3 linked regions of the Caenorhabditis elegans genome follow. The protein of the gene in region 1 purifies or fractionates together with the protein of each later gene. This does not show direct contact. Each region holds a gene or a part of one and is shown on either strand. Other genes may lie near its edges. The genes, in order: F53E10.6, Y48A6B.3 and garr-1.

Region 1 (3,464 bases):
AAAACAAATTTGAAAAAAAAAAAGAATTTAAGAATCTGAAACTTGGAAAATCGAATTTTCCAGTTTCACTGGAATTTTCAGTTTCCGGATCGTTTTTTTTCTTCAGAATTCAATTTTTTCAAAATTTACCCCGAACAAAGAAAAACAAAACATTTTGTGGTTAAACCGACATGAGTAAACATTTCGACAAAATCCCCAGTAGAAAAATCTAGAAGCGGGTGTCTGAAAAGGCTGCAAAAAGAATAGAGCGCTGAAACTTTTTCAAATGTGTCATTTTTATTGGTCGAATTAGCGGAGGCTCTGAAAATAAGAAGTTTTGTTTTCAAAAAGCGGGGCCTGATGCCAAGAATTGGAAATTTTACAACGTGGCCTAGAAAAAAAACTCGGCCAGCAATTTTTTTCCCGCTAGCCCACTTGATATCACGGATGTCAGGCTTCCCTCATAAATTGAAATGGAAGAGTTTTTCGAACTAGGCCATTTTGTCTCGGCCATATCTGGGGAAGATTTACGACGCGTTGCGTGTCGCGTCGCGGTTCGGTTTTAGTTGTAAAACTAAATGTATTTGTCCGTGTGGAGTACACGAGTTTCCCACGCGTTGTCCGGCGGGCGATTGTCAATGGAGCGCGAAAAATTCAATGAGGAGGGCCAGAACCCGTGTGATATTTGACCATTTTTCGGACTTAAAAAAACATTTTTAGCGTTCAAATAGGCCTTCTTTTTTATTCGAAAACTGTTTAAAAACAAGCGTTTTAGACGAAAAAACATTTATTTTCCGAAAAAATTAGTGTATGCGCCTTTAAATTCGGGTTACTGTAGACGAGAAACTTTTAGTTATAGGTTATTTTTCTATTTCTTTTTTATGATTTATGCTTAACATTGTTTAATTTTGTGTTTTAAACAAGTTTTAAACTTTTTTAGCAATATTACTACGGTCAACTTAAAGGAACATACGACTATTTCTTTATTTTTCGAAAAGCGCGGCGAGACCCATCCATTGCGATTTAATCGTTTTCTCATGTTTTTTTCGGTCTCAATCACCTCAAAACATATCCAAAAAAAAAGAAGAAGAAATAAAAGTTTATGGAACGAAGCAGCAAAAAAAAATAAAACGACGGGGCGACCGCGACATCCCTAAACAGGGTTAACGAAGCGATAAGTGACTTTTGAGAACAATGCTTGTTTTTTGTTCTTCTTCCTTTAGCTTTTTTTGTCTTACCCCGTTGCACCAAGTTCCGGGGGCACCAAAAATTGACGAAAAAACACATTTTTTAAAAATTCCAGGTTGCAAACGCGCCCCATTGAGAAAACCAGTTCAAACTTGGGAAGGAGGGTTAATATAACAATGAAACCACGAAAATATGATAGAAAATGAAAAATATTTATTGCAAAATATTTATTTTCGATTTCCTTCCTTTTTTTCCGAAACCGGAAACACTAGCGGCAAGTAATATCAAATGACAAAATCAAATGTTGTGGGTGGTTTGGATGGAAATTCAAAAGGAAATTCTTTGCTCTTTTGAACAAGAATACGATGTAAAAGATGTAAAAAAAAATCTTCAAGTCAAGAAAAATGAAGAAAAAAGCAAAAAAAAATTGAAAAAGGCAGCACTTCACCCCCTCCCAACTTGTCAAACGAGCATTTTCTCATTTTGCTCTTCGAGTGGGCGGAGTATAGACGTTTAACTTTTTAAATAAACGTTCAAAAAGCAATTTAACATCCATTCCCGTGTTTTAGCTGATGTTTTTATGTGCTTTTTGAGCTCCGTTCGATTTTCCCAATTTGAATGCCCGCGCATTTCGCATGGCCGTGGACGAGGAAGTGCGGGGGCCGAAGCGGACAATTTTCTCGGTCAAATTCATTTTTCGAAGGTTTTTAATCAATTTCCGCGATTTTTCAGGCTATTTTCTCATGAATTTCCTTAGAATTTTTATATTTTTAAATTCCTCGAATTTTTTAGACCATGTCGACAAAAAACCGCGATCGATTAGTCGTCACAGAAGACTCGGACGACGATAATGAGAGGGAAGAGATGTCATCAGGTATTTTATCGATTTTTCCTCGCTTTAAACACTTATTTTTGAACTGAATTCGTGTATTTTGAGTTTAAAAATAAATAAAAAAAACGTTAATCTGAGCAATTTGAAAGAAAAATCAATAATTTCAGGCGGAGAAAGCGGAGAAGAAGGCCCTTCCTCTGTAGATGGTGGAGCCGGCGACGCCGACGAGACAGTTGCCTTCCCAGCCATTGAGAGGGTGAGAAAACGAAAAAAAAACCCCCGGTTTTTCGTCAAATTAAATTAAAAATTGCGATTTTCAGAGAAAGAAGAAGGTGATCAAGAAGCTGACAAAGAAGGAGCAAAGTCTGAAGAAGAGTGTCAAGGAATACCGGATTAAGTTGGCTCTGGTCAAGCCGGATATCACCACCGACCGGGAGAAGGAACGAAATTTGAGAAGAGTCGCTACAAAGTAGGAAATTGATATTTTTTCGCGGTCAAAAGTCAATTTTCCCATTTTTGCAGAGGAGTCGTCCAGCTCTTCAACGCCGTCTCCGATCGTCAGAAGACAATGTCCGACGCGGTGAAGGAGAAGATGACGGCTCGCGAGAGACGAGAAGCTCGTCAACGATTCGACGGCAAGAACTTTGATTCGGACAGATTCGCGGATTCGGGATATGTTGGGGCGAAGAAAGAAGTGAAGGGAGAGGATGACGACGGAGAGGATCAGATGGATATTGGAGAGGAACAAATCGATACCGGGAATTATAGCGATGAGGATTAACTTTTTTTAAATTTTTTTGTTATCAAATTTTCTTTTTTTTTGTTTTGTTCTGTTCTGTTGTTGTTTTATTCATTAAAAACCCTTCATTTTATCCATTTTATTCATTTTTGCAACAAAAAAAAATTATCTTGGCGCCGGGCAGGTCACCAATCCAGCATTCACGCAGGCTGGATTCACTGCCTTCGATCCGGCGACATCCACGTTACAAATGTAGACACCGGCGTTCCAGTCACAGCAGTTGCGGTAGACGGCCGCCTGGCAGTTGAAGTCCTTTTGTTGGGCACTGGAAATTTTGGTGCGAATTTTAGGAAAGAAATTTGCAGGAATTCGAAATCGGCCTTATTTTTTGTAGGCTTTTCGTATTTTTGGCGAAAAATACACAGAAGAGCGAAAGTTTTGATTTTTTTTCTAGAAAAATAGACAGAAAAACTAACATATTCGCTTTTTTCACTCCATTTTTGTCGAAAAAAAAAATTATAATTTCACAGGATTTCGACGTGTCTCCTTAAAGGCATACATATTTATTCGATTGGGTCTCGACGCGCTAAAAAGTTTATGACGGCTAACTCGACTAATTGGTACAAAATTCGGCTAACGGATAATTCGGCTAATATTAACCGAGTTAGCCGAATCAGCCGATCGGCTAATTCGGCTAATTCGGCTATTATCCGCACACCCCTGTTC
Region 2 (2,904 bases), on another chromosome or scaffold:
GCAGAAATTCTTAATTTTTTCGTGGCGAGACCCACAATCCAGGCAAAATCCAACCAATTCAGGTTCCAGCGGCCTCAGCTTCTTTTTCGGCAGCAGCGCCGAGAACCGCTTCTTGTAAACCTTATCGCCGATACTGATGATGTCACATTTGGCGAATCTGCAATATTTTCTGTCGGTTTTCAGAGCAACGAAAAGCTGCTCTACCGTAATCCGACAGCCATCACTTTGGCGGTGACGATGGCTCCGTGGAATGGGAGAAGCTCATTGTCGAGCTGATCTTCGCTGCGGCGAACTTCGATCACTTGCACCAGGTTGTCGGATTTCTGCAGAAAAAACGGAAATTTTCGGGCTCCACGCTTGCGATTTGTGCGAAAATTACATCTCTGAATCCATAAACGTTGACAAAACCGGCTACCGACGCGAAGATCCTTCGATTCGCCTCGTATAATCCCTTCCCCATTCGATATTCACCAATCGCGTCGAGAACCTTGTCGCCGGGCGCCACAAGCGTTTCGGCGAGCATTTTCTGAGCTGAAAGTGGTTTAGAACGGGATTTGCTGTGATTTAGATTGATTTCGAGTAACAAAATTGAGTTTTGGAAATTACCGAGAAAGGATTAAAGAATAAAAAGAAAAAGTCTGTAGATAACAACAATTTAATGAGTGAACAATTGTGGATAAAGATGGTGATACAGATCAAGAAATTTTAAAAAATCAACAACAAAAAAAAAACAGTGAAAACCAGAGAAAAAACAATTTAGGCGGCCTCGACGGTGAGATGACGGAGAGCCTCGGCGACCTCGTCGTACAGCTCCTTGAAGTCCCCACTCGGCTTGACGAAGATCAGAATCGACGGGCGACGATGTCCGACGGCGAGTCCGAGCTGCTCACGAGATGGAATGTAGACGTATGGGATCTCCTTCTCCTCGCAGATTCCCGGAATATGTGAGTACACATCGATTGGAGAGACGTTTCCTGAAAAATTGAACGTTTTAAGGGAAAAATAGATTAAAATCCTACCAGCAAGAATGCAGATTCCCTTCTCGTTTCTGCGGAGCTCCTTCTGCACGTCCTTGATGCCCTCACGGAGGGTTTTATCGCCGGCGGAGGCCTTCTTGATGAGCTTGTACACCTTCTTGGCCAACTTGCGGTTTGCTAGTGGCTGAGCGATTGGGTTTACCTGAAAATAAGACATTTTTCATTAAAAAACCAGCGAAATTAATGATTTACCAGCTCGCAAAGTGCCTGGTACTCGTCCTTCTCGGTGGTTGGTGCGGTGGCGTCTCCATTGGCTTCTGATACGGTCGACTCGTTCATTGTCTCGTCCAGATTGCGCTTGCCCATTTTTTGATTCTGAAAATTCATAAGTTAATCGTGTAAATTAGCCGCAAAGTTCAATTAGCTTTAGGAAAAGAAAAACAATGAAAATGGGATTTTTGCAACAAAAAATCGATAAAAATCCTATTATGGGTGATTACATAGGAATTTTACGATATTTCATGGCTTAAAATTGATAAATATTATATTTCCGAATTTTAAAATTTAATTTTATCGAAAAAAATCGGAGAAAACCCGCAGAAAACTTCGAAAAATACAATAATTATGTGAAAATGCGTCAAAAGAGAAAAAAGAGAAATCGAATCGAAATGTGCAGTGGAGCGCGTTCGCCCACATCCCAGAGAGTGGAGACGCAGACAATTCGTTGGCGGGAATTCAAATTAGAGATTTTCAGGGAAATTCGTTTTGTTGAATTTTCAACTGTTCCTGACTCCGATTTTTGCAAGTTTTGCAGCCTCTCCGCTTCCCCGAAACGCTCAAACTTCAATTTTTACGAGTTATCATCAAAATCGCAACTAAAATATAACAATTTTATGTCCCCGAACCCCCCACCCGCCCCCTACACGGTACTATAAAAGCCAACTTCTTCCAGAATTCAAGCATCAGAAGCATCTTCTTCTTCTTCATCATCATCATGAACGTCTACTCTGTCTGCGTCTTCGCCATCTTGGCTATTTCTTCAGTTTCTGGAATCTTCTTGCCACAAGGAGGAAAGAAGTGCGGAGGAAGCAGTGGATACGGAAGCGGAGTCATCATCGGTGCACCACGTCCACAATAATTTTTGTGCAGTTTCTGTTGATTACTGATAAATATTGAACATTCAAACTCTGTTTTTTGGGCTTATAATCTTGTTAATCGCGCCGCAGGCCTTTCAGTTTTTAGGGCTTAGGCTTAGGCTTAGACTGAGGCTTAGGCCTAGGCTAATTCCTAGGCTTAGGCTTAGATGGAAAATCTATGACCTAATAAAATGGGACTTTGAAGTAGAAAGTTTGAAAAAAAAAAATCCCAAATTGGAGTTAATCTACGGGACTCTAAAGAAGTGCGAGACAAAATTAAAAAATTTCAAATTTATTTTTCTAGTCCAAAATGCTCCTACATATTGAGCAGTTTTCTGTTAGGTAGTTGAGGCTAGGTAGGCAGGCACGGTTTCAGGGCCTCACGAGAGGCAGGCGGAGGCCGCCTTAAGGTCAGGCAGGCAGGCGTTTTGGAACCCCTAACATTAACAATTCGACTTGCGTTGTATGATTTGAGTGTATTTGCAAACTTATATTTTCCGTGCAAATGATCACAAGGTTTTTAAGCATCGAAGCATACATCTTTGATGCTCCCGCTCCCGGAACTAACTTTATCGATGTGGGTGGAATAAAAGCCTTCCGATCACAAACCTTTTCCTCACTTCGGTTCTTCAAATGAACATTTATTGCGTTTTAGTGTTTGCTGTACTCTCCATCTTGTCGGTTGTTGGAAAACCTCGAGCTAACCATATTCGACCTGCCTCAGACCGACATATCATCATGGGATTCGACCTACCATCCAAGTTTGGATAATTCAAACTGAAGCAATTAAT
Region 3 (3,199 bases), on another chromosome or scaffold:
TTAATTCGAGACTCGGCGGATGATGATCAGTCATATCGAAGCAAATAACATTTCCATCGAAGTTATCCGCATCGTAGTAGTATCCACCGCGCAGGTTAAACACCTTCACGTTGCCCTTTCCGTGCCGCCTGGTCAGAAATTGTTGAGTTTGAACTTTTGAGTTACGGAAATTCGCTTCGATTCCTGTTGCTGGATAACCGATAGCTATGATTCGGTCTGTGATATCTGAAAGTTTTGAAAATTGAAATGCTTTGAACTCAAGAGAAGTGCCTTACATGCACAATCTAGGTCGATATTTTGGTACTCGGTGCGACAACGATTGGAAGATACAGCCGTCCGAAAAATATGGCGAATCCGCTCGACGATTGAATTGTGATACGGTTCAGACACACGTGGTTCACCAGGTTGTCGGTTTGGATTCTCTTGAAGGTCACGAGCCATCGACCTGGTCGATGTGCTTGGCACATCTGGAGGAGGAGTAACCATTGGGGGTTAGTAGATGTACCTGGAAACTGCAAATTCATGAAGAGGAACGAATTAGAAGAGAATTTCAGCGAATTTTATAATTTAAACATTGTCAGGTGAAGTGTGATAGAATAGAATGCCAAATGAGCGCAAAGGATTAAGGGATTAACTAGCTCATGCTAAAGCTCAGATTTGTTCACGCAGAGAGCTCAGACCCGAGAGATACGAGAGGAGCAGAAAGACAGACTACATTTCCTCGTTAAGAATGAGCTGAAAAAGAGCTAGAAATCCGTTGAAAATCGCCAATATGCGTATTTTCGACTTAAAAAAAACAAGACTGATTTATTAGAAAATAATACCCGCCAGCGCCAATAGTAGAAGATCATATGAAATCATTTGATCAAAAAAGCAAAATTTTGGTCTACTGATTTATGAGCATTTTCAACCAAGAAATAGGAAGATTTCGGATATTTTTATAACCTACGTGTGGAAAATGTTTATTTGTATTGAAAAATCAAGAAAAAATGAATAAAAATTGTCGAAAAAGCAGATAAACACCGAAAAAGATCGGTTTCGCGGCGAAAAAACAAAATCCAAAAAATGTCTCTTAAAGGCGCACGCTAATTCAAACGGCACGGGTCTCGCCACGAACGCCTCTCTTCTCACTGCATTTTTCTCTTCTCTTCGATTTTTTTTTCGATATTTTTTAACGTTTTCCAATAGTTTTTATTGATTTTCTTGTTTAAAAACTGGCAAAAAACGAAATAATCGTTATTTATAAGTTGTATTTAGAGTCTAAAGTTTGTATAGTGCGATGAAATTCTTCGAAATAGGCGAAAATCAATTTCTTGTGATTTTCTTAATTTTCTCATATTTAGAAAATTGAAATTTCTGTGAATATTATGTACAAGAAAACCCCTTTTTGTTTTGCAATACCAATTTTTTCTATTGAATTTCTCAACAAATATATTTTTATGTCCAGTTTGATTTTATTTTGCACTTGAATAACTTTAAAGTTCAAAAATTGTTTGACATTTCAGAAATGAGTTTCCGTGGTGGACGTGGAGGCGGTGGTGGATTTCGAGGTGGTCGTGGTGGCGGTGGAGGCGGTGGATTCCGTGGAGGTCGCGGCGGTGACAGAGGTGGTGGCTTCCGTGGAGGACGCGGTGGATTCGGAGGGGGCGGCCGTGGAGGTTACGATCAGGGACCACCAGAGGAAGTTGTGCTCGTCGGTGTCTTCTCCCATCAGTGCCAAGATGATATTGTTTGCAACAATACGAGTGGAAAAATCCCATATTTCAATGCTCCAATTTACTTCAAGAATAAGGAACAAGTCGGAAAAATCGACGAGATTTTTGGATCCCCCGGGGAGAACGTAAGTAATCTCTTAATTGAAAATTAATCATAAATTTATTCGCTGCAGGGATTCTCCGTCACATTGTCACAAGGAGTAAAAGCCTCTTCATTCGAACCAGAGTCTCAGCTGTACATTGATCCCGGAAAGCTTTTACCAGTTGATCGTTTCCTTCCACAAGCCGGCGGAGGGCGTGGAAGAGGTGGTCGCGGACGCGGTGGGGATCGTGGAGGACGTGGCAGTGACCGTGGAGGTCGTGGAGGCTTTGGAAGAGGCGGCGGCGGTGGATTCAGAGGCGGGGATCGCGGAGGTTTTGGCGGTGGTCGTGGAGGATTCCGAGGCGGAGACCGTGGAGGGTTCCGTGGTGGCCGTGGAGGAGACTTCGGAGGTCGCGGACGTGGAGACTTCAAACGATCATACGATGGTGGAAGTTTCGGAGGACAGAATAATAAGAGAACTAAATTCGAATAATTGTTTCTTCTCTAAAAAACTGTATGTTCCAATTGTTTTCATCCTTTTTTTTTACCAATTGTTGATTTTCTTTGTTTTCCTTTTCTCATCTGCCCTCATTTTTTGATCACTTTTTTGTTGAACTTGTTGGTATTTTATACACATTATAATAATCATATAATTTAGTTATTTTATTTCACTAATCACACAGCGCTCTGAGGCAAGCATTTTTGGCGAATAAAATTTGGAGTTCGCATTTAAGCGCGCTTTGATATATCGTTCTTATAACATTTTTTAATCGCCGCAACCAAGTTCCAGCCATTAATTTGACAGATTACACTGGAAAATTATATATTTAGCTTGAGAACAAAATCTAGAAAGTAGTAAAGTAGCAATTAGCAATTGAAATTTTGCAATACAGGTTAACTTTTGAAATTTGAAATTTTAACAGAATAGAGCTCTCAATCAAAACGGCTGAAGATAAAAATAATTCTGAGCGATTTTCATTGTTCTAATCTCAGCAGTGTACATACTGTACCACGCCACAAAAGGCGGGGCCTAAATATGAGGTTTTCTGCAGTACACGCCACGCAGTTTTCTTATTTTGAGTGTATTGCGCAACATACTTGACGCGCAAAATATCTCGTAGCCAAAACTACAGTAACTCTTAGAAGGACTACTGCAGTAGCTACTGTAGCTTTTGTGTCGATTTACGGGCTCAATTTATTATGGTGCGTCCATAGTCTGCGGAAAACGAAAATTTCCCGCGACCCGAGGCGTCCATAGTATGCGGAAAAATTGAGCGAGTTTCTCGCTTCGTTATTGGTCAATTTCAAAAGTGGCCGTGCCCAACCAATTAGAGGCTGTAAAATTTTGAGCTGAACAATGGGAAAGTGGAAAAACTGCAGGCCACGCCTACTTTTTTGAATT

What was found.
Region 2: the proteins of F53E10.6 (region 1) and Y48A6B.3 fractionate together in Caenorhabditis elegans (co-fractionation; one large-scale study listed by BioGRID). This does not show direct contact.
Region 3: the proteins of F53E10.6 (region 1) and garr-1 fractionate together in Caenorhabditis elegans (co-fractionation; one large-scale study listed by BioGRID). This does not show direct contact.

Annotation. Positions count from the first base shown.
Region 1 is NC_003283.11:2,601,559-2,605,022, reverse strand, and holds F53E10.6 (RRP15-like protein), read left to right. Parts: upstream 1-1,959; 5' UTR 1,960-1,962; coding exon 1,963-2,041; intron 2,042-2,166; coding exon 2,167-2,255; intron 2,256-2,319; coding exon 2,320-2,468; intron 2,469-2,521; coding exon 2,522-2,780; 3' UTR 2,781-2,870; downstream 2,871-3,464.
Region 2 is NC_003281.10:11,006,670-11,009,573, reverse strand, and holds Y48A6B.3 (Putative H/ACA ribonucleoprotein complex subunit 2-like protein), read right to left. Parts: upstream 1,353-2,904; 5' UTR 1,344-1,352; coding exon 1,230-1,343; intron 1,180-1,229; coding exon 1,020-1,179; intron 975-1,019; coding exon 757-974; 3' UTR 645-756; downstream 1-644. Other genes in the region: exos-1 (Exosome complex component CSL4 homolog), read right to left, coding at 55-157, 205-323, 380-523; fipr-17 (FIP (Fungus-Induced Protein) Related), read left to right, coding at 1,972-2,115. UniProt on the Caenorhabditis elegans protein: Required for ribosome biogenesis. Part of a complex which catalyzes pseudouridylation of rRNA. This involves the isomerization of uridine such that the ribose is subsequently attached to C5, instead of the normal N1.
Region 3 is NC_003282.8:424,663-427,861, forward strand, and holds garr-1 (putative H/ACA ribonucleoprotein complex subunit 1-like protein), read left to right. Parts: upstream 1-1,505; 5' UTR 1,506-1,507; coding exon 1,508-1,840; intron 1,841-1,888; coding exon 1,889-2,290; 3' UTR 2,291-2,542; downstream 2,543-3,199. Other genes in the region: Phosphatidylinositol 3,4,5-trisphosphate 3-phosphatase and dual-specificity protein phosphatase daf-18, read right to left, coding at 1-225, 276-486. UniProt on the Caenorhabditis elegans protein: Required for ribosome biogenesis. Part of a complex which catalyzes pseudouridylation of rRNA. This involves the isomerization of uridine such that the ribose is subsequently attached to C5, instead of the normal N1.